2 linked regions of the Styela clava genome follow. The protein of the gene in region 1 purifies or fractionates together with the protein of each later gene. This does not show direct contact. Links are inferred from orthologs where the notes say so. Each region holds a gene or a part of one and is shown on either strand. Other genes may lie near its edges.

Evidence for each region.
Region 2: the proteins of cdc42-interacting protein 4 homolog (region 1) and cell division control protein 42 homolog purify together in Drosophila melanogaster (affinity purification with western blotting; 4 studies listed by BioGRID). This does not show direct contact. The link is inferred for Styela clava from reciprocal best matches to the Drosophila melanogaster genes Cip4 and Cdc42.

What each region holds. Positions count from the first base shown.
Region 1 is NC_135254.1:6,316,456-6,333,326, reverse strand, and holds the start of cdc42-interacting protein 4 homolog, read right to left. Parts: upstream 8,351-16,871; 5' UTR 8,216-8,350; coding exon 8,192-8,215; intron 7,873-8,191; coding exon 7,706-7,872; intron 6,792-7,705; coding exon 6,644-6,791; intron 1-6,643. Other genes in the region: uncharacterized protein LOC120344092, read right to left, coding at 16,440-16,871.
Region 2 is NC_135256.1:6,368,257-6,384,747, forward strand, and holds the start of cell division control protein 42 homolog, read left to right. Parts: upstream 1-12,541; 5' UTR 12,542-12,562; coding exon 12,563-12,667; intron 12,668-13,649; coding exon 13,650-13,722; intron 13,723-14,452; coding exon 14,453-14,562; intron 14,563-14,938; coding exon 14,939-15,136; intron 15,137-15,224; coding exon 15,225-15,317; 3' UTR 15,318-15,324; intron 15,325-16,491. Other genes in the region: something about silencing protein 10-like, read left to right, coding at 507-597, 2,112-2,186, 3,061-3,170, 3,499-3,645, 4,443-4,658, 5,212-5,415, 5,602-5,684, 6,387-6,441 and 1 more. UniProt on the Drosophila melanogaster protein: Regulates mbt kinase activity and is also required to recruit mbt to adherens junctions. Together with mbt and Frl, regulates photoreceptor cell morphogenesis. Together with Frl, has a role in the neuronal development of mushroom bodies.

The sequences.
Region 1 (16,871 bases):
TTAACATGCATACTCCCATGGTATGACACCAATTTTTTAAATGTGCATCCCATTTCTCATATTGTTGAAGTTGAAATAAGCTTGTTGGAGAAAGTCTGACGAAACGTCACAGGAAAATATATATGTGTTAGTATGCAGCAAGACTCTTGAACTTTTATTAGAGGTGATTTTTGTAAATATACCAGTATTCTGCAAGTCAAATTATTCAACAACCTGCGCAAATTTCATTATGACTATTTTATTTATCTAAAATTATAATTATTATTTTCTAATTGGTTACAAGAAAGACAACAGCAATTTCTTTAAATTTGTGTTTTGTGAAAATGGGAGGGGTTTTCCAGAAGAAAGTGGTTGGTCTAACAGAAACACTACATGACATAAAAAACAATTTTAGTTCCATGGCTCAGCACACTTATCTGAATGGTTGAACATGACATGGGTGGTTTGTTCAGTAAATATCCTCTGCAATTTATCCCCTGCTACATGGTTTAACAAAATTTAACTGGAGATGGTTTGTTTTGTATACATTTTCTGCTAAATATTATTTTATCAAAAATATTCCATTGTCAGTATTTTTCATCTACAATTATCAAAACCACTTTAAAACTAGGGAATGTATTCCACATCCAAAACCACAATAATAAATTGGATAAGCAATGCTGAAATGTAAAGATTCCAGTCGGTTTACTACATGCCATATTACTTTGTAATTCTCATAATAGAAATTCCAAATATATGATTTCAGACTACGTTGATTGACTGGTTTAATTCGTCCTGAGTGCATAATATGTATTGTACAAATAAAACGAATACTATCAATAATTAACAAAAAATATTTTAAATGAAAAACACAATGCATTACATTTGATCAATAGACTATATCTTGTCAAACAAATTGCAATTTTAAATATATTATAACATAAAATTCATCCAGTCCATAACAGGTTAACTATTTCTGTGTCGAACAAGTTTTAGTAATATGACAAAAAGGACATGATTAGTCATATAATTAAGTAGCGTTTTAATACGTTTTCGTAATACATGTTTGAAATTATCCCACTGAAACGCATATTATATTAGATATCTAAAATAAATATGGTCACGTTGCTCGTCTATTCAATTCGTAAAGTGCATGAGATGTAAGATAGAACGGGTCCAAAAATCCTCCCATTGCATGCAATGACTAACCGACAATGGTATTTATAACGCTCAGGGGAATAGAGGAATGGAATTTGAATAACATTTTGTATCACTAACTATTTCGCTGAACTTGTAGTGACATTGTTCATTGCCATTTCGCGGCAGTAGGACCAGTTTGGTTTATGTCACATTTTGATTAATTAAAAAACTGCATTTTTGTAATATTTTGATTTAAATTGCCAAACCGTGAACAGACATAAAACCAGGGACGGTCATAAGTGAATATTTCTTTATTTCACCCTGGTCTATGATAGAAGATCAAAAAATCAATTTTTTGGGAAATGCGACATACAGTAAGCTGTAATTTCACAGTGGTTAATTTTTCATTAACCCCATGCCCACCTAGAGTGAAACTAAAAGATTATTGGTAGGCTATCGCCAGAATCAGAATATGCTTTTTGCATAATCTGTTTTGTTAATCTAATTGTAAAGGACGCTGTTCATTACCAACCGTCATGCCCACCTAGAGTGTATATAAAATTGGGAAGACTGATTCAAAATTATTTTTTTTTTCAAATTTTACAAAAACAATGGTTCATTTCGCACCCTGTATGTCATAATTTAGTTGTTCCAGACTATAATTATGCCCTCTATAAATATAATCGCCACTGTAAAATAATATTAGAATCATGCTGCGATTGATCAAGACAACATAAGTAATAAACAATATCATAAACAGAAAATGGTTAAAACCGTGCCCAAATCACCAGAATGCTATCAATACAAATTCAGTTTGTTCGGGAAATTCATTATCTTATCTCGCTTATATTTATTTTCTTATCAGAGATTACATGATAATGTAAGATGAAACTGTATTACAAGCCAATATAGATCTAACATTTCTAGATATGATTTCTTATATTTGGTAAATAAGGTACAAGAAAGTGATGAGCTTGCCTAATAATATAACAAACCTCTCGTCCAGTTACCAGTCAAATATAGATTACGAAAACAGTTCATAAATTGTAAAATTTTTATATTATTTTAATGATTTTACTTAACGCTTGCTTGCATAATGCGAATAAAAATCAGTGATTTAATTATTTCAATCGAAACAGGAAGAGCAAATCATTAAAAAAATATATTTGAAAGGAAAATGTTTCAGACAATTGAGTAGTAATATATGCTATCATTGGATTACCACGGGTACGAGTAAACAAGATCTGAATCTGTGGTTATGAATAACAAAAAGAAAACAAATATTCTTGACTTCTGCACAGAAAGATATTTGCGGTAACAGCAATGCTATTGAATCCTTTTATTAGAAGGCTTTAGAAATACAGAAATCACCACAGACAACAAAATTATTAACAATTATTAGTGAACATAAATTAATCAAAAAACGCAATCTGAAGTATTACTGCCCTATTTATAAAACTTGACAATTCAGTTGACCAGTTTACTGAAATAGAATTAAAAGTATGTCGGCCAACAAGCTGAATGAAAACTAGAAATATAAACAATACAATATTAGAGGAAGTAGATTCGGTTGCACAACGAAAATTATGAATGACAGCTCTCAGTTTTTTAAAATCTTTTTCGAAAGTTTGAAATAGAAAACCATCATTATCGAACATATCTTTCAGTCCAGTACATGATTGTCAATGTATTTTAATTTACTAATAGGAAACAATGATTTTTTAGAAAATTTGTATATTTTAAATTATTGTATTTTCTTGTGAAAATCACCATTTTTTGCAGTGAAAAGGTAATTTATTAGGTCCCATTGAACTGATTAAATTTACAGATCTTTTTCGGTTATCCCGCCTATTAATATATGAATACTCAGTTAGGGTTTGATTGAGGAATGCAAATCGTTCCTAACGCAAAGTGTGTCAGCCTGCAAGCTGCATGAAAACAAGAAATATAATACACAAGGAAATATTAGAGAAAGTGAATTTCCTAGTAAAATTCAACAGTACTGTTGTCATCTATCAGTTGCTCTATGAATTCTTCAAAAATTTAGTTCAGCAAAATTTAAAATTATTGTTTTTTCTCGTTTTTCCTCATTCCTCACTTTTTTGTGGTAAAAAGGTGATTTATTAAGTCATACTGAACTGAATAAATTTATGTTATGGACTCTTGATGCAATGATTTTGATGCAAAATTTGTTCAAAACTCTATTTCAACAATGTCTCATATTATATCTTGAAACAATTGGTCCACTGGTTGAAAAAAAAGCAAGTTTTGGTCCTGACATTGCCAAGAACACCATTCAATGTTCTAAAAGAAACGTATCGTGGCTGCCAGATTTAAACATATTTCTATCTTTTTATCTGGCAACAAGGGTAATGCAATCTAACATATATTTATTTGAGGACAATCCAAAACATATCTTATTTCATGGAGAATAAACTACATAGATATGCGATCAGGTTTATTACCTGCATCACACACCCGCACCAAAAATATTAAATAATTTACAAGATTTGATATTTTAAGAACTAACATGTCGCCAGAGAATAATTTTCAATGAACACCCTACCACTATGTGCCATTGTTTTCGGGCCATTCCAACATAAAGGTCCTATTTCATGAAGAGGAAGCTAAATACGGCATCCGGTTCCAGTATACACATGGCGCTGATGATTATTTTTCAGCATACGTAAACGAACTTGGATGCTACAGACATCAATAAAATGTATTTGTACCAAATGTATTTTCTTATACATGTAACGAACTAGAATATCATGGGTGATGATTTGTAAAAGAATTCAATTTTCATACTGGAAGATCTACCCCTAGGTGTCATGTTGTTTCGGATCATTCCAACATAAAGATCCACATTTCATGAAGAGGAAACTAAATACGTAACCAGGTGTCAGAATATAAATGACGCTGATAATTTTTATTCAATGTACGTAAACGCAACTTAGACGTTACGTAGAGCGAGACTGATATTATTATTCACACTGAAGCCTCATTGTATGATCATACTTCCTGCCACAACACCAGGCCACACTTGATTGGTAAAATAAAAATCATTTTTCATATCGGAAAGTGGGAAGTCGCAACTACTACTGATAGAGATGAGTCAGCAAGTAAACAATATTGTTTTGTTTTTCGATGTATTAGAATGTTGCAATATTAATATACTATACTATATTATTTCCAACCTAGGTTTGCTGAGTTTCGAATAGAGAATGATCTTATACTAAAATGATATTGACTTTTACCAATATATCTATTCTTATTGTGGAACTACTTCAAAGAAAATTAAAATTATTGCTAGGCAAAGAGATTTTTTTTAGAAATTTACCATTTTTGCGGTGAAGTCATGATTCAGTAACCCATTGCGCCGAATGAAATTTATCGCATTGATGTGTCTTGTGCCAAGATTTTAAATCAGGTTTATCAAAAAATGTGTTCATGGCCTTATTTCTAGCAAGTTCCATAATATGGATCCTAAAACAATTAATCTGATAGATAAATAGAAAATTAAGTGTGTAAACTACCCATGAATATTCATATAAATTGCGGACAGTACCAAAATTCAAATACACATACTCGGAGTATTCCCCACAACCATTTTCTACATTATGCAATATAGCATTTCTTTCCTGTAAGCATTGTGTAATAAAATAGAATGAAACTAGAACTATGTCAAGACATGTTGAGTCATGACTTTCCCTAGAGAATTGCTGAGTAAAATCGAATGTCAAACACTCTTGTTAACTCCTGTTAACGATACAGTATTAAACACTCTTTTATAAAGATTGCGCATAGGTTGGTATGCTGGTGTAACGATGCTCCAGAAGTATGTGTAAGTAAGTAATGAAGTAACATGGAGGCAACTACTTTTGTTCGCCTCCTTTACATCAAGTTGTGTAAAGATACGGAAGCCTGTGGGCTTGTGGAACTAAAATAAGGAAAATCGGAATAAAACTATGGCCTAACCCTAACCTGGTACACACACAACTGGAGTACCGGTCTAACTATGTTAGTGACCTTGAAGTAGGCTACTGTTAAATTTATTGGTTTTCAAATCCTGTGACCACAAGATGTAAAGTTAGGTAGATAATGGCGAATCGAAAAGATTTTGGTCTATATGAAATTCCTTAGCTATTCGTTATTCAAGCATCAAAAAGGTCCAGGGTGTGACAAACTTTAAGAGTACTTCTTTAGCCTGAAGACTACCTCTCGTCAGACCCCAGGTGTAGGCTACATATGGAGGTAGATCTCTCGCTCAAATAGCATCGATTTAGGAGTAGTCAGAGAGACTAAGAGTTATGGAAGATTTATTTACACATTTACATGAGAAAAATCCATCTCAATTTGCTTAATTAATAAAAGCAATATACCTCTTCCATCAAAAATCATTTTCCCTCATCAAGCTATGACTGGTATTTCCCCCATACCGATATTGATTAGCAATTCATGATAAAAATACTTCAATCAAAAATTTATCAATAATTAAGCAATAGAGTATTGATCACAAAATTCCTTTGATGAGTCTACTTAATAAGCTTTGTTTAATAAAAAATTTATGAATGAGCTTCATAAATCGCTTCATGCTTACATTTACCAAGTACATTATTTCAACTGACAAGTATTTTCACATCTTCGCTTTGAGTAACAATGTAGACATACAATCACTGTATTGTGTTATTACTATGTATTTTGAAAAGAATCAATTTTTTCCCGTCTAACTTTAGCTTATTAATAAATTTATACAAAACTGGTGAGATTTTGGGCATGAGATTTGAACCAAATAGCTTTGACATGTTATGCCAGTGTTTCATACAGGATGACCATAAACATAATCATACAAAATCTTTCCAAATCTTCATAACTTGATTTATTCACCTACGATATTGTATCCTCACAAATAAGCAGAGTTTAAAAATAATTTATAACAAAAATTAGTTGTGTCAAAAAGTATGTGTCGTGTTAATAATAAGTGTTACGATTTGTAGGGTTGGCTTATATGCAAATTTTCATAAATTCACCGTTTTAGGGCCGTTCTTTTGGGGTCGGCTTATATTTGAGGATATAATGTAATAACCTACACTTACTGTCTAAACTTCCAACCATGAAACCAATTCATTCATATGACCAGAACAAGCACATACGCAAAATATTTTAGTTCGGAAAAAAATAAACCGAATCTTTTTGAATCTGCATGGCCAACTCAATTTAAAAATATTAGATGGAATATATATAGGATGTCCATAAAGTCCTAGAATTTTTTAAATTCCAAAAGGAATTTTTCAATCCTATATATTGTTTTGGCCCTCACAGATGTATTAAATAAAATAAATTAAAACTTGAACAATTACTGACTAAAAAACAACAAACCTGGTTAAGATATATTGAGAACTGATTCGATAACAAAATTGAAATTGTAAAGAGACTTTATGGACACCCTGTACTTACAATCTGTGTGTATAAGACATAGCAAGTGATATAGAATTCTCACTGTAATAATTGAACAATGAAATACCTTCTTTTTCTCGAGTCTGAGTTCGTTGATGAATGCGTGTAAATTCTTAACGATTGACTTCAGAAGACTTTCGGCAACAATCTCATGTTGTCCTGCTATATCATTCAATTCTGCAAGCTGACTTGCAAAAGCTTTATTTGTTGAAAATCTGAGAAAATACAAATTTGATGATTTGAACAGGAAATCTGATATTGATATTCTGCTGATTATGCTGCCCGGATTGTTGGAGATTCAAATACCACCATAGAAAAAGAAGAGTGGATGGAAAATGGAAAGATTACAATCCATCCTAACTACAGAACGACACACTATAGAAATCGGGTGGCATTGTCCCGTTTCAGAGAAACCCATTTTACAGATGATCAGACATCCCTCCTTTGGGAGACGTCTGGACATTGTTGTCCCTCAATATCGATAATAATACAGTATAATGAAGTTGCGCAAAATACTACAAAAAAGCGCAATCTAGTAACGTCATCATTGAATTCCTTGGGAAAAAATGATCATATTTACTAAAGGAAAATTTTTTTTATCGTAGTATTCGAAAGTTTTTAGCAAAAAACAGCAATTTTGGTCATGTGACGGCTGCGATTAATTTAGATTATTATTGAGACAAGCATGGCGCGATATGAGGCATCTGACGTGGTCCCAGACGCCCCTCGTTTGTGAGACACATCGAGTGTTTGTTTTATTAAACAAAATGAAGGAAAATACTTGGAATTTGGATAGTGTGCTGTACTGAACTATAGTAACCTCAGTGGCTGCCTGTGCAGAACTTTGTATGGAGCAAATTTTTTATAACAACTATTGGGCATATCCAAGTAGCCTCTTACACAGAGCTTGGTCTGAGAGAATACGTAAATCTCCAAAAGTAGCTTCTTACAAAAAGCCTTGAGTACTCCCGAAGTATTCTAGCCTTGTCCTGAGAGGATACGTGAACCTCCAAAGAAGCTTCTCACACAAATGCTTATTCTGAGAAAACACGTAAACCTCTAATAGTAGTTTCTTATACAGAGTTTGGTCTGAGAAGATACGCAAACCTTCAAAAAATGATTCACTTACATTGATGCATCGTCGTCTTTCTTTTTAGGCGAATATTTTTTTGCAAGTCTTCGAAGTTGTTTTGCGTAATCCTGTTCCACGGAGCTTCTTTCTTGCACAAATTTCATGTATTTATCCGTATATTCTATTCCATGGTGCAAATGTTTGTCCACATTTTCAAATTGATCCTGGGAAATTGTAGATTTGTTTTTGGAGTTGTTTTGATGCAGGACTGCTTTTGGAAAATCCTAGCATAACACCCGCTAGCTGTGGTCTAACTTGACTATTATAAATTTCAAACAAGCCCACTGCCTCACCCAAGTGTAGTCACGACTTTGACAGGCAATGTTAACTACTAATAGTCCAGTGTTCTTGAAAATTAGTACCATACACATCAGTGGCTTAGAAAAGCCTTGTTTAAAATGAAGTAAGAAGTTTGGAATTCGGGACTTTAGCCCAACACAAGACTGCATTCAACATTAAACAAAGTCTCACGTCTGTACTTACCCAGAGTTCAACGCCCCAATCCATAATGTAGTTAAGTGATTTCAAGACTTTCTATGACTTAGTATTACTCTCTGAAACGACAAAATACTGAAACCGTTTTATATTTTACAATACCGGTAATTTGATAAACCTAAACAAACATTATTTTAAACTGTATATTTCCAATCTTTCAAAATAGATTCAAATTTGTTGAATGTGTAAAACAGCGCTGGGCAAATTTGCCTCGACTTCACTTTTAATGCATAAAACAAAAGTGCTCATGAACTTATTATCATCTGCGCACAGATATCGTAACAATGTCTGTTGTATGGCATTTGTTTTGTAGTAATTAGCCCAACATGTATACCGTTAGTTGTGTTGGAAACAGGAATAGAAATAGCAGGTGCTTCAATCTTATGAAATTAATGGGGCCTGCACGCTATCGTCCATATTTGGCCCAGGAGTACATTAAGTTTGTCGACGACTAGTATAAAACACGAGTCTGAAAATAGTTTTATTCATAACCGAAACAAAAATTGCTTAGATATTGATCAGTCAAAAATACTTGAACAGTCAAAAATAAAACGTGTATTGGCTGTGCATTTACTGATATCATAAAATTATAATGGCAGAATGGGCTGTGTTACTCTGAACATGTCTTTCAAAAAGAACTGTCAAACTCGGTTGGTGCTGTTACCGATATAGGAAAGGATTTACATATTTATCCCGAGAAAGAGGAAAGTCGATAAGATGGCTTAACCATATGGCGAACCACGGCCTCTCGTCTGGATATATTCCGTTACTTTGTTAGAGAAATATATATAGGTAAAAAAATATATAAATCCACATGTATTTGTTTAGTTTTAAACAACTTCCAAAGAACTGGAAAACTCTTAACTCAAACTGTCATATTCAACCTGGTCATCTGAAAAGTCTGTTATGACTGTATGAAACAACAGGTTGGAAAAACCTACGCAACTACAAACAGTTTTATTTGTTTTTCAACTACTGTAATTTATATCTTGTTGTTTGGTTCGCACTGTCGCAGGCTCATCTCACAGTCTACGGTACTCCGTTTACAACACATCCAAGCATTTCCTATTCATGGACTTTTTAATGTTTCACAATTCTGCAGTTCACTGCCAATTTCCAATCTTAGCTGCCATGGTGCAGGTGCAGTGGTGTGACTGCATGATTGTGGCACTATTTTTTCTATATTAGGAATTTAAAAACAATAAAACTGTCAACCTTTTATACTCAGTATACTTAAGACTACAGCTTTCAATACAAAATATACAAGTGCAATCTCAAACTAGCCAACAAAACCAGGCCTAATTCATGTTATTGTCTGATATTTTTTGGCAGCATGTAGGATTTAGGGTCTTATGTTATACTGTTATATTATTCTTACTGTGTGAGAACTTGACTGCGGTTCACGTCCATATAACTGTATAAATAGTTAGAATATCTATAACTAAACTAGAAAAATGAAACAAATTGCAAATGCCTACATTCAGACATTGCTGTGCAGAGGTGGCCAACCTAACTAACGACTGCTGGACTGCGATGGACTAAAATCGTCAAAATAGCTGTGATCGACTGATCTGTAATAAGGTCATACATGTACGGTATTGGTACACGAATACGGTACCGTAGGTACTGAATTTGTTAATTTGATGATATAATTCAACCCGAAGTAAATTTTCATTATTAAGTTAAGATTTATTCGAATCATACATTTCACATCTAAGGCCTAATAATCATCAGGCTTGCCCACAACCGGCGCTGCATGAACCTGGTTCGCGTTAATTTTTAATTTTTTTGTGTTATTAAATTCACTCAACATCAGACGCGATCGACTATTCGAGACATGGCGATCGACCTGTTGGCCACAGTTCATAAATCTCGCTAGGCATACGCTGGATTGCGGATGTGGGCCCACCTTTACTTGTGAAACTATGCTCTCGCGATGAGATTCGGCCCTTTACCTCCTCTAGTCTAACGCAGTGATTTTCAACCGGTGTTCCGCGAGAGACCTCCAGGTGTTACGCGAAAAAATTGCTTTTTTGAAGTATTATGACGTAATTCGAATAATATAAATAGCGTCGATTTGAAAATGGCGAGTCAGAGTTTTGAGAAGTTGGTATAAAATACTTGTAACCAGATGAGAAATGACAGGCCATATTTTCTTTTAATGAACTTTATCTCGGCGTATATTTTTTGTGATCCACTCCATTCTTGACCAAATAATATTCCAAAAATGTGAACCTTAGGATAGGAAAGGATAGGATTTACATATTTATCCCGGGGGAGAGGAAAGCCGATAGGACGGCTTATCCATATGGCGAACCACGGCCTCTCGTCCGGTTACCATTCCAAGTCGGGTATGGGATTAGTTATATATTGTTTGTTTCCGGAAGCATGGACTTGGTGGTGGAGGAAGCCGTAACCGACTAGCGGTTACGTGAACCACCCAACGACGGCGAGGAGTCCAGCAATCCTCTCGCACATAACCATCCCTGCATGGGATTCGAACCTGCGAACCCACGCAGAGTAATTAGAGGTGCGGTGGCGAGCGTATTCCTAACGCTTAGCCCGTTGAGCCACACCGCCGCGCCTTATACTCGACTATAAATTAGGCCGCGAGCCGAGGCCCTGAAAAATGCCTAGAGTTTCGTAGCGCACATCAGGTAACTACCAGAAAATGATTTTAAAATGTTCCTTAAAAATTTAGTAACAAATATTGCCTTGTTCCCACTTCCAAAAGTTGCACGTTTTACGGAAAAGACGCTTTTACTACAAGAAATATGTGCTACGATCTGTCCAATATTCTCTACATTTTCGGCAATGAACAATGACTTCTGCATGACGTAACAATTGAATCAGCTGTTAGCGAGCGGATGAATATTAGTTATTATTGCTCGACCTTGCGTTGAGTTGGGCAGCCTTTCCATAGCCCTGTTTAGTTATTATTAGTTAAGTTATGCTAAGACGTTGTTGAAAATGTATAAGTAAGTTAGTAAACACTTGTAGATCCTTACCACGGATATGGGCCGTAAGACGAAGCCTTGAAAACGCCCAGAAAATGAGTTTCGTAGCGCACATCTGATAACTAAATAAATTCTTCAGTTTTGTGTGAAAATGAACATACTGAACGCATTACAGCTTGTTCCACAATTCTGATGCGAAATTGAATATAAGTGGTTCCCGGAAATTCAATAACCATAGGTTTACAACACATACATAAGAACTATCCAATTCGAGAGCCCTACAGCACACTAACACAAATGTATTCCTGTAATGTTTTGCCTGACCAAAATCGGACTTCCTCAGTCAATCATAATTTATTAGGTGGATTACGAAAAATATGGCATACATGTAACCAACAACAAAAAATACTTTAATTGTGTGACAGGAGTCGCGAGTGACCTCGAAGCAGCGACACCAACAACGCTGATTCACATTAGCGAATAAATTTTATGTAATAACCACAAGCAGTTTACAACAAGAACAGCATAAAAAGCTACATCCATTTTATTGAAGCTATCAAACGTATTTATTTTTAAGCAATGAAGTCACAAATTAACATCGTGAGCACGAAAACACAAATAAATCAGTTATTTCTTACTTAGAAATTTACCGAAAAAGTCAAGAAAATTAAATGAATGTACATAACATAGTGAACAGAAATATTACAATTAGTCTTTTTTTAGTTTATGTGGCTATGTATTTGACCAAAGGCAATATTATTTCTAGAAACAGGACTACGACACTAACAGATGTCCGAAAAAACAAACGAACAAATGATACTTATTAAATCAACTGCAATATCTAATTCACTTTCTTCTGAATTGTTTTCGAAATCCACTATCTCGAAAATCGACATTTTCTCTATAAGTGTACTGTGATTTTTGCAGTCAATACAAAAACAAAAATCGGTGCAATTTAAGTTGATTTTGGCACGCTTGCATAAATTATTTTGACTATTTTTCTTACATTTGCAGTTTGCCAACTCAAGAACTGATTTGAGGGCCACATGCTCCTTCAGTGAATCATTGAATCAGTGAATCAATCTTATGTTTGCCAGTGTTAAATAGACGTGCCCTGGTATCATTTACATTCTTCATATCCTCTTCATACAGTGAACAAACAAATTCCTTAGCTTTATTTATTAATGCCTCGTTAACCTCAAAAAATTTTCATAGTGGAGAAAAAAATGAATTGAAAACCTCAATGAAGTCTCCAACATGAGTTTAATGAGCAGTTCCAATTGCAGAAAAATACAGAAAAAAGTATTTCAATATGAATCCATCCAAGCCCATCTGTTTGCAATACCGGAAAAACAGAGAAAATCAGAAAAAGCAGAGAAAATAGGACAGATGGTAACACTTATTTATTGTAATAAAAGCGTCTTATCTGTAAAACGTGTAACTTTTGGAAGTGGGAACAAGGCAATATTTGTTACTAAATTTCTAAGGAACATTTTAAAATCATTTTCAGGTAGTTACCTTATGTGCGCTACCAAACGGAAAGATAAATGACCTCGGCCTAAATGGAGTCATGAAGTCGGAGGAGATTACATTCGTTGCATTTTGAAGCTTTTCTTGTAGTAAATATTAGGGCGTGGCATCATCAAAATCGTCACGTGAAGTGTTGAATTCGCAAATTCCGTAAATAAAATTGTGAATTTGTAGGTAACGAATTTAGCGATGATAATGGTCGCGGTAATGTTTTGTTAAAAAAGAAAACGTTAAAACTTGAGGTGATTACCGTATTTGCTCGTTTATAGCCCGGGCGCTTATTTTTTTAAACATACTCACTAACCGGGCCCTTATTCAAACCGGCCCTTATTCAAGCAGGGGCGCTTGTTAATTTTAAAGTAAAATTACACACAAAAATACCGGTAGATAAGATCGATCGTTACAATAATTAATACCGTATATTGTCATTTCCAGTTCTCAAGTATGATTTAAACGAGATTAATGAAAATTTTGACTTTTTCTACGCACCGCGGGTACAAATCGGCCAAAAAAAAAAACTTTTACACCGGGCGGGTATTCAAGCACCGGCCCTTATATTTATTTTCATATCCTGTTCACACGGGCGGCTATTCAAACGGGCCCTTAATCAAGACCGGGCGTTAAAACGAGCATTTACGGTAATTCTAATCAGCGTCTTCCCTCTATTAGGCACAAAAGCAATTGGGCACAAAATTGTTTACAATTTTTTGGCATCAGGTCGCGTATGTAAAACATCGTTCAAGAAGTGATCTTTATCGTCATTTTGCCTAATGACCACGTAGATTTCAGCTTTTAAATCAACATTCAAGATTCACGCAATCACAGATTTATCTAATCACAGTATCTAATTGATTTATTTCGGAAATAACACTGACACCAATGTGGAGCATAAGAAACTCAATTATCGTCTTATTATATGTGTGCTCGATAATGATAATATTATTCGCTTAAAACTGGGACGTTTAATTTGCAAACGGCGATAAGTTAGATCAAAGCCGGGGTAAACGATGAAAATCAGAATAAAATTAAGTTGGAATTTAAAATCGCTTCCTCATGTCATTAACATCTGTCGCCGATGTGAACGCATATAGTTATAACAAAATATGAAACTTAGATCTCCGCCGATCGGCGAGAATTAATCTTGCGCATAAGAACAAAGGCGGTAATATGAAAACGTTCAGGGGGCAAAAAAAGTAGCGATTATGACAAAATTAAACAGTAAAAATTGCTTTGATGCCAATTTTCGATGTTTCTATTAATTTCCAAATTGACCTCCGACCTTCTGGACTCCTGTTGCGCATAAAAAAAACGCAAGAAATTGAGAGCCGTTGAGAAAGAGCTGCGTGTCCTCAATTACAGCCAGAATAAAATATTTAAAACTCATCAAAAACCTCATCAGACCCAAATATCACATTAAAATACAATTTCTGTTTCTAGCTAATCATAGTATATATTCATAAGCAAACTCGCAAAAACATTCATTTGTACCGTACTTTAGATCTTGTAGCTCTGAATCGGAATGTATCACGTCTTTTCCAGCTAAAGTTGACAAGCTATAATATTAGTTTTGTTATTTTATTTTCATGCCAAAATGATCGATGTCAGTTAATTGCATAATATAGTTTATTTCCAAAAATCTCGTTTGGTGTTCCGCCACAACTTTAGATTAAAAAAAGTGTTCTGCGATACAAAAAAAGGTTGAAAATCACTGCTCTATTGAATCGGGTGTCTGTGGGATGTTTCCCAGGGCATCGATTTCCTTGTTTATTTCCATAACCATAACTAATCAGGAATAAGTTAACAATGACGAAACGACTGCAATTTATGAAGCCCATCAGACCCATCATATAATCAAGAATGGTTGCAAACCTTGCCTCGATTTTGTGGTTTTGCATGATATTTGTCAGTTTCAGTTGCATTTCTGAAAAAAAGTGGTAAAAAAAATAAATAGCTAAATCAGTGTTTCTCAAACTGCGTACCGCGTGAGATGCTCAGGTGTACCGCAGAGCTTTAGGGAATTTTAGAAAACAAGCTTTTCGTATTACACATAGGCACGCATGAATGAATAACTAATCAGGAAAAAGTTAACCATGACGAAACGACTGCAATTCATGCAGCCAATCAGACTCATAATCAAGGATGGTTGCAAACGTTGCCTCGTTGTGGTTTTGCATGATATTTGTCAGTTTCGGTTGCATTTCTGAAAAAAAGTTGTAAATCAAATAAATAGCTAAATCAGTGTTTCTCAAACTGCGTGCCGCGTGAGATGCTCAGGTGTACCGCAGAGCTTTAGGGAATTTTAGAAAACAAGCTTTTCGTAATACACATAGGCACGCATGCAACGGGCGAGCTTGCGAGAGTTCAGTGCGCGCTATTCATTATAAATATTATTGCGTTGTCGTTGTAGTAAGTGTGATTGTCACGTTATAATTGTATTGTTATAATGTATTTGTAAACGAGGCTTCCACCTCCATCATGTTGACTTTCGCGCTTATTTAGGTTAACAGAAAAGCGAATTCGGACGAGTTTTGGCTATCTGCTTACAAATTCAACTCATTTATCGGTGGAAAATCCATCAAAATAATCTAACCATTTGTGTATTCATGGCTCTGTGAACACGGATTTTCTGCTATGACTGAAATTGAAAGCAAAAAAGGGAGCGGCGGAACCTCGTTTCAATTGTTTCTCTAAACAGGTACACATATCGCGTTAACATTTGCAGAATTAATTTGTTCAATGCAACTATATTTCATTTTACAAATGTGCCGCAATTTTTTTTTATTTGCTTAGTGCTCCGAGAGAAGGAAAAGTTTGAGAAACACTGAACTAAACTATCAATATTGAATGTGCTTATGTGTGTTTTACTACTGTGTCAAAAGTTAGTTGCTGAAGTTGATTGACAACACAATCAAACAAGCAGAAATAGGACCTGTAGAATTTAACTCTACTGGTAGGATTAGGATAATTCATAATGCAAGTTTTGAAGTAGCGATAAATACCCTGTCAAACTTTAGGCAATGTTGCGATGAGTATCTTGTGAACTGCTGAACAATAATAATAGATATAAATTGGACCTTCCGGTCGCAGAATTTTTATCTCCACGAGATAGACATACGTAAATCCATGCATTTGAAATCAAGAGTTGGTTAGCTGGTACTGGGATCACCGGGATTGGTAACTAGGCGGGAAATGTTGATTTAGCTAATTAGCAAAAGTTAGCCTTATTATATTGTATATTAGCGGCAATGAGGCATTATTATCCATGTAGGCTATCTTGGTATTGCCATGACTTATTTAAAAGGGCGACCACGCCACATCGTTTAACCAAATATTCCACAATTAGTCAGGATTCCGAAGAACGACCGACAGGCCAATTTTGAAAGAGCCTTGATAGAGTAGAGTCCAAACTAATGTTTGAAGTTCGAAACGAAATTTTGAAGACAATCGTTTATTTATTAACATAATGAAAAGACATTTTGTACAAACAAAAATATAAAATAGAGTAAAAAATACCATTTCATATTTGAGGAGGGGCTAAAAAAAACAATAATAATTTGAGCGGAGACACTGGTAATTTATGCATAACAGTAATAAATACAAAATTGGGAGAAAAAAATCAAGCGCTTTGATCAAATAAGTATCCACGCATGTCTCGAAGGTCTGATATAAAACAAAAACGACACAAAGTGAGATAACCATGCAAACGAAAGTGGTCTGAGACTTACACAACATAAATGCACTTATAACACTCATAAGTGAGTTTCTGAATCTGCATGTTTGGCAAAGCACGATGACAACTTGTGTATTTTTACACTTTTTTTCCACCCATAAGTTTTACCGCATAAATCGCAAGAGTATGGTTTTTCACCAGTGTGTACAACGCTGTGTTGTCGCAGTTCATTTTTCTTTGCATACTTGGCACCGCATATTTCACAGGCGAAGGGTCTCTCTTTGACAAGATTTTGTCCCGCGTGTGTTTGCATATGTTTGTTCAAGGATACTTTATAACCGAAGCATTTGCCACAGACTTCGCATGTATAAGGTTTTACCCCGGTGTGCACAACTCTGTGATTATTCAAAACTAATTCAAACACAAAGGTTTTTCCACAAACTTCGCAGGTAAATGGCCTTGGCTTGTTATTGTCTGCTTTTTTTATTGTTCCTGGTTCCGCGTGTTTTTT
Region 2 (16,491 bases), on another chromosome or scaffold:
CCTGTTACCCATGTTACGTTCCGATGTCCGCCATCTTGGTTCGCATACTTCGGGAGCACCGAGTTTTCTTTGACAATATTCTGCTTTGGTTAATTAAATTATAATAATATTTTGCTATAAAAAATTTTTCAAATAGTCATGTCTCAAATAAAAGTATGCCTTCCACATAGTGAATCACAAAAAGGTTGTTTTGTGCACTGAAATAAATGTAAATCTAATCACCCAAATTTCATGATGAAAAAGTTTAAGTACTGCTGTTATGTACTCGTCATAGATTGTCAGATTGACTTTTTTTCCCTTGTGGAGTAGATCATCGATTTCTTTGTCTTCGTTAAAGTGGGCTTGAAAAATAAATAAAAATACTGCCTTAGTTTTAGTATTTTTTTCGTCTTATTGTTAATGTTAATATAGACAGACATAACAATACTTAACAATAGTTGTAGTTTGTAGTTGGCAATAGACTTCTTTTTTCATAGGTTGATTTTAGATGAAAAATTTGTTTATAGGAAGAAGTTCTTGGAATAGAAAGTGATGATGATGATGATGATGACATTGATGAAGAAGATGAATCTGATGATGGTGAAATTGGAAATAAAGGTGAAGATGATTTGAGCCTAAAATCTAGTAATACAGTCACAACATTTGGTACTGCAGTAGTATGTGTACCAGTATGCAGTTCTATTTCGAGTTGGGGACTGTCCTTTAACCCTGCTAAAACGATATGAGACTTATGTGTAATATGAATATGGCTCTAATATGATTTGTCAGTAAGAGTTAACATTCTTTATGTACACGTCTTATTATGGACTTAACTCAAAACAAAACCAATAAGACATTTTCGCGCCTTTTTCAAGCATGATATAGGCTTGTCCGAGTGTTTTTGCCCCGGGTTGTGCGTCACTCCTTTTTGGCATATTTCCAATTTTACGAGTTTTATATCTGTAAATATTTGAAAGCTAAGGAACATACAAAGGAATACGTTATTACTTGAAAGAAAGTAATTCGCGCGGCCGTGCGCTCATTTTCCTCGCGTAAACACGCACTAATAATTACCCGCACAATAATAAACAAACAAGAACTGCGTTGACTTCACAAATATACCGCTTTGTTACTCGACAGCTGTTTGCGCTACACCATTGCCTGTGATATCATTTTGTTAGGAAAACAAACACCAAAACGGCTATAACGCTTGCGAGAGAGTGCCGTTATCATAAGTAAGGTTCAACGGCCATAAAGGAGAGAGGTTCGAATGTTTGTATACTATCGTCGATGAATTTTCTCACGTACGCAAAATTTCGTACATGGAGCGGTCCATTAGCGACCTCTTGCGTATAGAAAACAATAATATGATTCAAACAAGCCTTCAATTGCCTTCCAAGCCATATTGGTTAGGTGACAAATGCTAATTAAAAATATTTTAAAAATTTGACTAGGGAGTGCGGGTTAGGAAGGTTCAGCATAGTGTTTGGATTTAAAAGTCATTCTTCAGTTTCTGTTGCTTCAAGACACTCAGTTGATGTTTGAGTATGTGTACCAGGTTAGGGTTAGGCCATAATTTTATTTCGATTTTCCTTATTTTAGTTCTATTACGAGTTCGGGACTGTTTTTGTTAGCCAAGTGAATATACCCACTGCCCATAGGTTTCAGTTCCTTTACACAACTTGATGTAAAGTAGACGAACAAAATTAGTTACCTCCATATTGGTACACACACTTCTGGAGCGCCTGTCATTGTACTCTGCTTAAGACTGTAAATAGAGTTTGGAGCCTAGTTTACAAACTTGTTCATTTCTGTGTTAGGTTCATCACAAAGACAAAACATCTTAAAGAGATTGAAAAATTTAAATCTTTCTCTTTTATTAATCCGAATCTTGGATTTGAAATATCAGAATCTTGTATTTGCATTTTATGAAGAGATTTGGCCCACTGTTTAAAAAAAGACGATTTGCAAATTTTATTACCAATCAAGCGCACTGAATGCATGTTGATTTTAGTAGCTCTGAGCATTTAAAAATATTGAATTACAAATATCTCCTGCATTAATAGGATATTATATTTTCATGAATGAGTTTACAATCACTAGTAGTTTCCTTATTTTTTTTCTCATTTCAGGTATCACAAGTGAAAGTGCTTGGGGAAAGAGAAAATCATCATTTTATGGTGCAGACACATATGATGGCCTGGAAGGTAATGTTTTTTTTTATAATTGTGGTAAAATGGTTACCGTATGTCATTGTCTGGTTAGTTTTCTAAAACTAGGCCGATACTGATGTTTCCTCACCTAAAGAGATGGCTACAAGTAACAGGCAACACTCAGAACAGATTTTTGTGTTTTTCTTGCAAAAGAAATGAAATCTATAACAAAATGTTGAACTTATGCAATGATGACAAAAAATTGCATAAAAAGTACATTTACTCCTTTCTTTGTGAATCTAATTTTAGCGATTTCATCGCCTTATGTTAAAAATTATTAGTGTTAAAATTAGTTAGTTAAAACTGCTTTCCCGTCGTAAATTTGACATTTGGCAGTCACGTGATCGACCGATATACATCGGTAAAATTAGCCGATACTGATAATTCGAAATTTGTGAATAACAGATGATATATTGGCCGGTCCCTACTTTTTTGACTATCGTTAAGAATGCACTAAAAATTTTATTTATAAAAATATTAATGCTATTTGTAAAAGATATACCTGAAAATTCAGATAATTTAAATTACTTTATTGCTGTAGAGCAGTAGTTTCCACTATTTTGGTGGAGCAGAATCTCAATGCAACATTCCAAAGGCTTTGGGAACCCCTGGTATGATATAATGGTAAAATATTTCTATTTGCTGTAAGAAGAATTGTTTAAACTATAAATATATATAAAAGCAAATCTAATACTAGCAAAACAAAATTATCTTCAAAGTTTAGCAAGTTTTGGCAGACTGTATTGGCGGAGCCCTAGTGTGTAGTTGAACCCTGGTTGAAAACCACTGCTGTGTAGCAGGCCTATTTGAATGCTAAATTATTCATCTTAGGACAACCCTGAATATTAATCAAGTATTCTTCTTGAAGGTTCTGATAGAGAAGAAGCTGAAAAAGCAGAAGAAGAAGAAGTTCTTTCTATTCAGAAAAGATTGGCAGAACAGATGGATGAGGATGATTTTGGATTGGATATATTGAATGTGAGTTATGATTGGAAACTTGGGGCCAATAATTTGCCAAACCAAAAGCATATTCACGAATTTTTTGATCTTTTTAGATTTTTAGAATCCAATAATTTGCTAAATCAAAAGCATATTCACAAATTTTTATATCTATATTAAAATTTTATGCTATATTGAACAATGGGAAATGGGAGGATTCAGCATCGTTATGGGGTTTCAGTAATCTTGCTGTTGTGAGAATCAAGTACTCTGAATGAGGTTATTATCCAAATTATCTTTGCTTCTTTCATCTAGCAGATGATGTCCATCTTTTGCTGTGTTAATATTTTTTTAATTGTTTCCGCAGGTTCCGGAAACTAAAACAGAAGAGCAATCTGATGAAGTTCTAAAGGCTCATGTTGACGCAGATTTTAGTTCGTTATCCAAGAAATCACAATGGAAACTTGTGAAGAAAGAATCACCGGAACTTGATGGATTGATTCATGACTTTAAGGTTTTTGCCTTCTGTAATTTTATTCAAATATATTCGCCTCGCACTGATTGTGTTGAGGAAATATTCATTCTGAATACAAATTCAGTTTCTCATTCAAAACTCAGGGTTTTATCAAAGTGACTCTGCCTGATGAGCATTGGATCATGTTGGCATCACAGGTTAAAAGATATCATTTTATATACCATGTCCACTACCTTGCCCAAATTGGGTAGCAATGCCAAATCAAAAAGACTCAGTGCTGTGATTCCCAATCTTTTTTATATTGCGACAAACTATTAGGCTCTTTAAATATTCGTGGCACGCCTATCACAAAACATGAACATTTTATACCCATTGAGCCATTTTGCTATAAAATAATAAAGTAAGAATGTAAATGAACAGTTGCATAGAATGTTTACGGCATCACCCGAGGTGAAGAAGCGTTTTCAGTGCTTGGGTCACAGTATGACTAAATACCTGAGCAGCTACAGCTGGTTTCCTCTCATCTTCTTTACAAGTTTCAAATTAAAATGCACGTCTGTAAGTCGATATGCTAACTTTTAACTGTCTATTGGAAATTGGAATCACTTGAAATAAGTTCAACAATGAAATCTCTTCGCCGCACCTGCCGGCACACCAATATTCATTCAGTGCAACACTAATGTGCTGCAGCCACTGTTTAGACTACACAGAGCCTAGTTTGAGGTGACAAGTGTATGAAAATGTCTGTACAGAGTTCTGTTAGGTTGATAGCAGTGGTGTTAATAATATAAATATATCAGAATCCTATAATAATAGTAAAAAATTATTCATTCCAGACCAAATTATCTGAGCTACAGAATGAAGTTTCACCGCTGATGAAACTTGTGAAAAATGGGACGATACCGAAGGGTCTTGGATCTGATTACATAAGTCTCAAATACAGAGTCTATTCTGCATATCTACTCAACATATCATTTTATTTGGCTCTGAAAACCAACAAAACTCAAGTACAGAACCATCCAATTGTTTCAAGACTGGTGCAATACAGAACAGTGAGTGTTATTTGATGATATCCTTGTTTTTGCCTGACCAACAAAAGAAACCATGCTATCCATTTGCCTACTTTGAACACCGAAGGGTTTTTATGTCTCATACATAGCTACATAGTTCACAATATACGATATAATTTTGTCTGTGATATCCTGAAATATCTAAATCAATGGAAGTTTAGCTAATACTGATTCTCAAATTAGACAGCAATTTTGTTTTAATATTGGCTAAGGTATGGTGCATTTTTCTAAGTGTTAGGAATTGTCGTCACACCTATGATTACCTTGTACAGGTTTGCAGGTTTGAATCCTGTGGGGGAATAAATACTGGTATGTATGTACAAGAGGATTATTGGACTTTTTGTCACCACAGCGTTCACGTAGCTGCTGGTCACTTTCCTTTTCCCCGGGAAAAATATGAAAATCCTATCCTAATATTGCACTTTAATTATGAATTGCGCAATACGGCATATCACGATTCAGACCTTTACCCTTGGAACTTATGTTGTCATTAATATATCCATGCATATTAAGAATGGTTTTATGTTTTCTGCAGGTCATCAACCAATTGTCCCCCATTGAAAAGAAACTACGCCCTGAAATAGATGAACTCTTGAAAGAAAACCTTAATAATAACCTTGGAGACGATTCGCTTAAAAATGGCGAAGAGTTAGCGTCTAGTTCTGAAGCATCTGATTTTGAGAAAATTGATGAAGTGGTAGAATTTAAAAAACAACGTAAAAGAAAGTCGAACCCCAAGGTTTGTTGTCTACTTATTTTAACATTTGTTAGGTATATACACAAAATGGGTCAGATTGGTCAGCAAAATTTACCCATGAAATTCATGTTGTTTTATTACTGGATGATCTCTCTTCGTGTCGTGAAATTAATAATAACTCATTCCATTATTTTGTTCATTCTGGTATATATGCATCATATTTTTCAGGAAAATACTGATGAATGTGATGTGCAAGAATTTTCCAAATCAATGTTAGAAAAACTGGAAGAATCAAATGATTCTGATGATAGGTAAGTGGCGCTTTAGAAGTATGTGTACCATTATTGAGGTAACTAATTTTTAATCAAGTTGTGTAAAGGGACTGAAACCTATGGGCAGGGGCTAACACAGACAGTCCCCGAACTCGTAATAGAACTAATATAAGGGAAATCGAAATATTATTAGGCCTAACCCTAAGCTGGTACACACACTACGGGAGTACCAGGTATGTAATATATATGCGTTTAGCATTGATGAACTGCTTTAAATTCTACAGTAACATTGTGAATAAAAATAGTCCGGTGACCAATGGAACCTAAATATTTGAAACTCAATAGGGATCACCAGCCGGAACTAGAATTCTGTGTTTTTTAAAACATACACTTGAAAAATACATTATGTTGTTATCGGCCAATTCCTTCAATTATAAATGATATGTTATGAAGCATATTGTGAATTTTTAATTTTAATGTTGAGCATTAGAGGTCACTCAATACTACTATTTTTAGTTTCTTCATCTGTTAAAGTTTTACATTTTACAGAGAAAATTCTGATTTAACTGAAGATTATGTTAGTTTCTTCAGGCATGCAACGAGCAATTCTTCATTGCAGTTCTTATTACATTTTATAGAGAAAATTTTTATTTATTTGAAGGTTATATTAGTTTCCTTAGGCATGCCACTGAAATATACTTTATTGCGCTGCAATTCTAATTAATATTTATTTTTTCACAGAATTGCTGACAATGATGACGATGAAACAAATGGTCGAAGGGCAATAAATTATGAGGTAAAACATTTTGTATTCTTCAACAAAGACAATGATCTACTCCATATTGATTTATCACAATTTTAGTTAAGCCTGATCAATAATTTATGTGATTCATTTTACCAAGTCATCTTTATTATTTTGTTTTTGACTTTGCACCCTCCAATGGCTGTGATTTGTTTTCACGAGCGAGTTATGTTATTTTCAAATTGGTCAATCATTGTCATTTCTCATTTTTACAACTTTTTTCGTCAACAGATTGCCAAGAACAAAGGACTTCGTCAGAAAAGGCGGAAGATTGATCGTAATCCTCGTGTCAAAATGAGACAAAAATACAGGAAAGCAAAGATACGAAGAAGAGGACAAGTTCGTGAATATAGGCCTGAGATAAAGAAATATTCTGGAGAAGCTTCAGGAATAAGAATAGGTTTGAGGAAGAGTACAACTCTGCAGTAAGACTAAACTGTGGCCAATTTATGGAATCTCCATAATAGCTTTCTCAAACGAATGATGAAGTGATGTGAGTTGATTGTGTTAGTGGCGATTCCTGGCAGAAGCATTACAGGAGTGTGGAGTGGATCATATTGACTTTGAGAGTTATTACTGGATTTATCTGCGTGCTCTGTTTTTCTTTTTGTTGCCAAAATCTGGTATGCAATCTCAAGAATGTTAAACTTTTTCTATGGTGATTAGTGGGGAAGTCTTTATAATATGGTACAGATAGGAGTTGTAAAAACCAGTGACCGAATGTCGATAATGTGAACATTGTAAGTTTTCTAAGTTCTCTGAGTGCAGTGATTTGATTTTTACAAACTGGACAAATACAGATCAATCATTTAATTTTTGTTCCTTCTGACATTAGGCAACACATGAGGAGTAAATCCATTGCACATGTTGCACAACTGTGTCTGTACCATGTCCATGTGAATGTGCTGCTAATTTTGGGCAAACAAACTTATAGAGATACCTCGAAGGCAATCATATCGAGGGATATGGTTAAAATATGTCCCGATGAATGAATTGTTTGAAATATGATACAGTTTTAGTATAATATCACAAGTGAGAAACTAATCTGTTTCTGTTGTTTGGTCAAACCACCCTCGCTGTCGTCTTTCATTTAAAATAAAAACTTTAAGATCTCTATTTGGTCAAATCTGTTTTTTATGTGGTGCAAATTATCACAGATCAAATATTCATAATCGCCTAATATAAAATAAAGGCCAGTTTAAAATTCTTTGGGTGGAAGAAAAAAGGTGATATAGTCCTTCCAACACATTCGATGAAAATCCAGCTCGATTTGTACATCACCTAGAGATGCTAAACTTGGACTCACCGTGTTGATATGTAATTGCTGACGGGAAACGGCTCCCGGAAATACATGGACCGAAGGCCTGAGCTTGGCAAATTTTTATTACATATTTATAAGCTTTGATATTGCATTATTCTAAAGAATCTCAAGTTCTAGATTACTCTCAGCATAATATGACTCAAACAAAATCAAATGAAAGTTATTATGCGTTCTCCAACTCCAAGCATACCTAAAATGGCTTCTAATGCAGCAATTGCTGTAGTATCATCAAAGTCAATAGAATAATGACGCAATAAACGTCACTCATTATTCCCTAACTAAAGGATTTCTCAAGCTAAGCGCGATATTTTATCCAACCTAATAAGATAAAAAATTAAGATATTAAAATAAGCCTCGAGTTAAAGCAAAGTTATGCCTTTTGGGACGGAATTATTTCATAATTTTGCATCAGGTTGGGAGTTATTTTTTTGAAAATTTCACCAAAGTAAAATACCGGGACATTTTGCTATCCGGGACGGGACAGACGTTTAAACCGGGACTGTCCCGGCCAATCCGGGACGTCTGGTAGGTCTACTTATAGATAATAGCATTCTTGTACAGGACCTTGTTCATTCAGTAGTTTATTATTCACTAAAATGAACATACACTTAATGCAAACAAAAACTAGGAAAAAAAACATGAAAATGGCATTTCTCGGAGAAGGGTGACGCGAAAAAACAATGTTGGTTATCTAGCTGAGGCACTCGTGGTGATAAAAGTCTTAACTTTGATACAGGTAGAATAGAAAGACGAAGTCCAATTACGGAAATGTTTGGTCATTTAAATATTTATGTGCGTTTGTTGTTCTAGTGAGCTTCTGCTTGAATTCGAATTACCGATTAGTCATTGTCACGGAAATAAACGAGGGAACTAGCTTCCATGAAACAGCCGTATTTGTCATTGGTAATTTGTTGCTTAATGTCGGGATTTCCCTTTTGTGTCATTTCCATACAATTAATAATTTGAACAATCTATCCAAAGTAGTCCAGTCGATGAGTGCTACGTTAATGAATAAGCTATGAGTTTTGATGTTGTTGGCAATGAAAAAGCGTGACGACAATGAACATTTTCAAGTATCAATTACTGAAACGTTTTTGTCATAGACAGACTTGTTCAATTGACAATCTCCGTGTTTGACAAGTCTATGACGTAATGCATGTTTTGACTTCCTGAGAAATTGTCGATAACGCTGTCTGCATTCATTTTTTCTTTTTGCAATATTAAAACTTTGCACTGCCCGGGAATCGAACCCGGGTCGCAAGAATGGGAATCTTGCATGATACCACTACACCAGCAGTGCGAGGCCGAAACGGAGGTTTTACATCCGGCTCTTAAACATCGTACGAGAGAAATAAAAAAAAAAAACTACAGTTTGCAATATTATGCGAACGATGGCTTGGAACACATAAGCTTGCTGATAAAATCGATAAATGAAGCGATGGGCGGCCAATTAGGTTGTGTGATTTGTTACCCAACTTGACATAATAGAGACTTCGGTGAAGTCGCAGTTAAATTAAATGGTTTATGTTATCAATGCCTGTTTAACACGGCAAGTGGTGTATTCACAATAAAAATAATAGTCGATGTAATTGTACAAATTTATTGTATAATCTCATCAATTATCCATAACGTGTTGTGACATAATACGTCAATAAACGTACACAACCGTACGCTGATGTAGCCAAGCGCTGACATCATGCAAGCCAAATCACGACCAAGAGAGCTACGTAACGAAACCATTTCTGACAGGTTCATTCACGGCGACGCCGGTATTTATACTGCCCCTGATAAAGCGTCAGTCAGACCCGGAACGCCTCGCCCGCCCATTGATGAAAGAGAAAGAAAGATAGAAAGAAAGAGAAACGACGCAGCAACTATTCTCACTCTTTTGTTAGCTTCCTCAATTGGCTTTTATCTTTATGTTGATACGTTTCGCTCTTCGGACCTGCTGTGCTTGGCGATACCACCATTACGTTTTTTAGTATTACACCCATTGATAATTATTTCTTAGTTACGATGTTTCAAACAATAGTATTGTCGGATTTCGAATTTTGACGTAGTCCAGGTATTCCGCTATATTACTCGAACAGCGTCGTCACATAGGTAGGCACAAGGTAGCTGAAAGTAACACACATTTTATCACTCAAGGAAGGAATTAGGCCGGAAGTTAATTAGGTTAATAATCAAAAGAAAAGGGTCGAAAGAATATGTGATGAACAGAGATATGTTGAACGTTGAATGAAATGAGGATAATCAATAATTACAAAAAATTGTTCAGTGTGATGCCACTCTAAACTTTTGTGTGAAACTGTGATGCCACATTCAGACATTATATCAGTATATTCAAATATTGTACTGTCATAGGCCTATGTCAGATTGGGTAATGGTAACTATTCATGTTCAAATTAAAGACATAGTGTAATAGAGGCTGTGTGTTTAGCTGGGTATACAGTTCTGCAGTTACACGGTTTTACATTCAGTTTCTTAGGTCAGTAAGTAGACTGGCGATTCCTACTTTTCAAGATTCATGGATATGAGTGACATAAAGAACACGCACTCAGATCTTATTTTTGACATATGTCCAAATGTCAATTGTGTTCAAATTTTTGTCTTTAAGTATAAGTATAAGTTTATTTCGACTCCATAATCAGCAATAGACGATAAAAAAAATAGATAAAAACAAAAGTAAAAGTAACTGATTATAGAATCGGGAAAGCGAACAAAACCTAGAGTAAGGTTTGAAACGTACAGATTTTAGATGGAAAGGTATTGATAAAAGAAGTAGTACGTGTTCGCTCACCCAAAAGTAAAAAAAAACTAATGAAGGCACGCACGCACACACACACACACAATCATCGAGACATGATACTGTCGGAAGCGAAAAAAGCGAGACTTAAAAGTAAAAAGGAAGGAAAATATACAAACAAATTAAAAAAATAAAAAATGAATAAATTCTTTTGCCACGCCAAATTGTAAGTAATACCCATAAGTAATACCCATAGCATAAATCCTCAGCGACAAGCATTATTTTCTTTGATCAGATGATGGTAGACAAAAGTAACTGTCATAAGCTAGTGGGAAATTTTTATGTTATTACACCCCAATAGCTGTTATTGATTACATGTTTATTACAAATTTAACAATCGCCATAAAATCAATGCTTGAATACAATCATGATTTGTTTATTACTGTCACAAATTAGAACCATGGCAATAAAACCTCATAAAATGTTATTACTTTGAACTGTATTGTTTGTGAATACTGCTTTCAATATATATGACTTGGACTTTCAAATATGCTTCTTTGAATCAGCGCATTTTTACAGATTCAGTGGCAAAAACTCGATAAAAAAATCTTGTTTAGTCATCTACGATATTCCAAAAAAAGCATTGACGTTTCTTAAGCATGTAAGGTGCCATGATTAGAACCTAGGTCCTAGATAATAAGTGTTGCTGCTTGTTAACCAGCTTTGGTTCCCTGTGATTTTCCCATCCCACCCCACTGTAATTATCATTTTCTCATGATTTGTGTACAATTGATTTTCATTTTATTGTTTAAGAAAAGTAAACTTGTTTTGACTTACCGTATTACTAAAATATACATATTTCTGGCAAAAAGAGCCAACTGGAACTTAGGACCTAAGTCTTACATAACCAGCCAGTGATATTGAAATTGTATACTCTTAAAATTAGTTGAAGTGTGTATTCAATATTGTAAATTTTTATAATACACTGTTTTTAATACATATTGCAATTTGCAACAAAATTAGCACTTGTCCAGCTAATCAAGCCATATATATATAATTATTTTTTACTTCACTGCATGCAAATTTGAAAACCAAGCAAAACAGTGTAGTTCCAGATATTACTGAATTTCAAAATCAGTTTCCATGGCTATTGACAAATATGTTTTCAAATTCATATTTATAAAGATGTCTCGATTCAGGCTATGTTTCAGAATCATAAATACTTATTTAAATGTTTCGCAAAAGTATATAGGTACGTTTCGCACATCTGTCTTTCTGCCTGACTGCTGACACTAGTTGACCCAGTGATTTCTGGACTACCAATACCCTGAGTCATCTCATGTGGGGGGATGAATCATCTCTCAAGCTGGCACATAGTCTTTCATATGATGTCTTATATTACTGTCTGAACTAACACTATAACAATAGGAATCAGAAATAAATAGATACTATTAACTATTGATAGTCAAAAATGGAAAATTTTGTAGATGATATTGTTTTACTGAAGTACTTTTAAAATCAGGACTTTACTGGTTGGAGTATATTTTAGTTTTATTTTTCCTCGACCTAACATGTCATGAAACTTAAATTTATTGATTTAGATCAGTGATTCTCAAACTTTTTAAGCCGCGCCCCTTTTTAGAATTTGTCAAGTCTTGCGCCCCTCAAAAGTAGCTACGGTAACTAACAATAAGCTACAAATAACAGATAGTAAGACGAAAGTATGTTTTATTCAAAAACATGTTGAAAATATGTGGTTGGCACGTGAATATCTGAAATAATGCGGGCAAAATCAAATCTACTGAACCACTGATTTAGGTTGTTCTCATGCTTATTAGGGGATGAAAAAAATCCAAAAAGAATGGTAACCATATACAGGTGTCGGGTTCAGACTCGTGGAAACTAAAGTAATGTGCAGCTATGCTTGGCCCGTAAAGTCTAACCAGAGGTTACACAATCTATAGTAAATTGAATTAACAACCCATAAGTTCAATCTATCTAACTAATATTTTTGTTTTCTTCCATAGAGTTAATTGAATAAAATAAATATGCAAACCATCAAATGCGTTGTTGTGGGAGATGGAGCTGTTGGTAAAACCTGTTTGCTTATTTCATACACAACAAATAAATTTCCATCAGAATATGTGCCAACGGTATGCTATTCTCTGTTTTGATGCATGCGAATCATTATCTATTTTCTTTTCAGGTATTGACTAAAATAACTGGGAGCTCATGCAAGTAAACAATGGGGTTGTCAACATATTCTAATCCTTAAAACAAGTGCCTACATGGCATATTTTTATTCCAGACAACGAAATTTCTGTCGTTTTATGGCTCTCTTGGTACAGCATAAAAATATCATGGATGTACAATAAGCCTTTATTTGCAGTTTGTTTCATAATTGTATATTTAGTGTTTGTAACATAATATTCAAAGAATTTGGTATAAACGAGAATAGTGCTTTCAAAAAAAAAAAAACTTAAGTGATGTATTCAATGACCCATTGTGATTATTACTGGTAGGGCGCATGATGGACCGGGCTATTTATAGTTAAAACTATATATATTCAGCACGCTACGTAAATTTGCATGTAAATTGGCAACCGCAGTGGCTTGCTTTCTAACTATTCAGATTTGCCATCATTATTCAATGATATTATATATGAATAACACATTTGAATTAAATATTATTGGAAAAATTGATGCTTTGAAAGTTCAGGGAAAATAATTTGCAATTGTGTACCAAAAAGTAGGACACGTTTCTCCGATTCCAAGATATCCAGAAATTTGGTCCAATAAAATAAAACACTCAATTTGACTCTGAAACGTGCGTCTCTAATATGTGTCCACCGTCATGTGACCAAAATTTCCTTTTTTTTCCAAAAACCCCGAATGCTACAGGGAAATTTTTTTCTGTGGGTAAATCTGACTTTATTTTTGAGGAATCCAATAGTGAAGTTTTTAAATTGCGCTTTCTTTTAGCTTGTTGCGCAGCGCCGGTATGCCCATTTTTACCTTTATGGCAACCCAGACTCCTTTAGGAAATGGGGGCTATTCTTGGAATCTGAGAACTATGTCGTAGATTGGTAAATATCTACATAGAGACAAAATATTTAAATATAATCTGTTTTTTTAGGTCTTTGATAATTATGCCGTCACTGTAATGATTGGTGGAGAACCATATACATTGGGATTATTTGATACAGCAGGTGAAATATTTATTTGAGATGAGTAAAAACTCTCATTAAATAGACGGATAAGCATTCTGTCAATTAAACATTTGTTAATGACTAGTCGTTTTCTTTTACTGTTTTTCCGCCCACTGATGATTTTCTCACTAATTTAAATAAGTGAGTTGGGTGCCAATAATCTCAAATTATCATTCCCTCTGTAAATATGTTTACCTAGGCTTATCTAGTTTATCAACCGTGTCAAGCTCAGTTCTTGTCTGTTCTATACCTACCTAATCAATCTATGTACTCGGTGAGCGATGGAAAAATTGTTTGGCTGCCACACACTGAGCATCCCACTACATTCTTGTGAATGTGCCTCATTATCCACAGACCACAGCATAGTGAAAGTATTATCGACTAATAAAAATTGTCAGCCATTGTTAAATTAGTTATTCTCCTAACAAGCTAGCAAATTTTGACCAAAACAGATGCTGTTAATTTGGTACTCCCGTAGTAACAAATACTACGGGAGTCAATTGGCTAGTCCCCGAACTCGTAAAAAAACTAAAATAGGGAAAACTGGAATAAAATTATTGCCTAACCCTAACTTGGTCGGTACACATACTACGTTCCGGTGTTCGCCATCTCAGTTCACATATTGTGGAAGTAATGTTAATTTTACCCAGTTTTTAAATGTATTGAAGGACGGCTTACGAATATTATAAATATTTCATTATGTGTTGTAACACAATATTCTCTTTCACAGGTCAGGAAGATTATGACAGACTAAGGCCACTCAGTTACCCTCAAACTGATGTATTCTTGGTGTGCTTTTCAGTTGTTGCCCCATCCTCATTTGAAAATATTAAAGAAAAGGTATGTGTACTCCTGATCATACATAAAGACTAGATTTAAAGATCCAGCATTTTTTCAGTGCCCTTTTTTGTCAATTTGCAGAACTACGTACCAATAGTTAAATTTTGTCTATGCTTTTGTGCTGCTGTGGTTTGTTGATAATATGTGAGGATGTTTTAGAAAGTGAAGGTTACTGTTTTGTCTTGACTGAATTTGCTCTGATAAAATTATATACTTATATTGCACATTAGTAAATTATAAGTGGCAACGATATAAGCAAGTAAATTCCATCCCGGTAGCAACAGTTGATGTTTTTATTGGGCTAAGCAATTTGGAAACTCCTACAGACTTTTTAAATCATAGAAATAATCTAATTTTAACTTTTTATGTTCAATAGTGGGTTCCTGAAATAACACATCACTGTCCAAAAACACCATTCCTACTTGTCGGTACACAAGTTGACTTGCGCGACGATGTTGGAACAATCGAGAAATTATCCAAAAATAAGCAAAAACCCATCGCTCATGAAATGGGAGAAAAACTCGCTAGAGAATTAAAGGCTGTAAAATATGTTGAATGCTCTGCTTTAACACAGGTAAGAAACTATTAAGTCTTGGTACTACATAGCTTTAATTGATATCCCGTTATCACAAAATATAAAAATTGTGCTAATCAACATGCAGAAAGGCTTGAAAAATGTTTTCGATGAGGCTATCTTGGCTGCTTTGGAACCACCATCTGAAAAGAAGAAACGAGGAAATTGCGAATTGCTATAACAATCTTGTACGTAATTGTGGTATGAAGGTTGCCTGATCAATATTTCCGCATCCATTTCAGTTCTATCTACGTATTTGTGCATAAATTTATCCCTATTTTCTTGAATGATGATTATAGAGGACAGAAACTATATTTCTTTTCATGTTGTATTTCGTTTGAATGCTATTTTTATTTGCTTTGCATATGCTTACTTATCTCATTTTCTTGTGAAGATTTCCGATAATAGTATATTGAGCAATTTTGTATCTAATTTAATAATCAATAATTGTAATTTGATTTATCATAATAATCAAGCAAGTGGACCTATGATTTCTTGAAATCAGACTAGAATTTTCTTCAAACGCCATATTCCTTTTGTTCTACAGTCTCTCAATGAATTTGTTGGGAGCTATTACTCTCCAAATGATAAAAACCGATTCAAAAACACTGGGCGCTGTGTATTGCTTCTGCATGTGCATTAGCTCGCTTTTCTAAAACCGCTTTAGCCTGTGTATTTTTACATAGCATAGCACAGAATTATTTCATTTGATTCTCTAGGTAGCTCTAACTAAGATAGAATCTCGTCAATTGGAATGGTTGTATGCAACAAAGAATAATATTTTAAATCCTATTGTAATGCGATAATTGTCTATTCATTTCTTCTTTATTTAAGGAACTTTTTAATAAAAGTTGTCCTTCTGGTCATGATTTATGCTGATTGAAATTTGCTTGACAAGGGGGAAATTTGAGTTTGGTATCGATGAACCAATCAAAAACATTTAGCATGTAATTTTTTTGTTTTATTTTTCTCTGCATGTCCTGTAGGCGTATTTGCTTTTTTACTTAAAGAGTTGAGCAGTGGGTTAGAGCAGGGGTGGGCAAATCCTGGCCTGCTTGTGTCTGCTGAAATTAAGACTATAGTTTCTATGGATATGAATTTCCGCTGAAAAATTTATGAAAATAACGTCATGATGATAAACTTCGGAACAGCTTTTTTATATAAAAAGCCCAGCAACAAAGTCTATGGCCCAGATAAAACTGTAGCTGACAAGGTTTCATTTTGTCAAAAAAAAAAACAGGACAAACTAATATGTATACCACACTCAGCAAAATGCTGTATAGCTTAACATGTCACTGGAACTAGGCTGTACAAAGAAGTGCATCTTAACCCCTGTTATCACGATTCTTTTATGC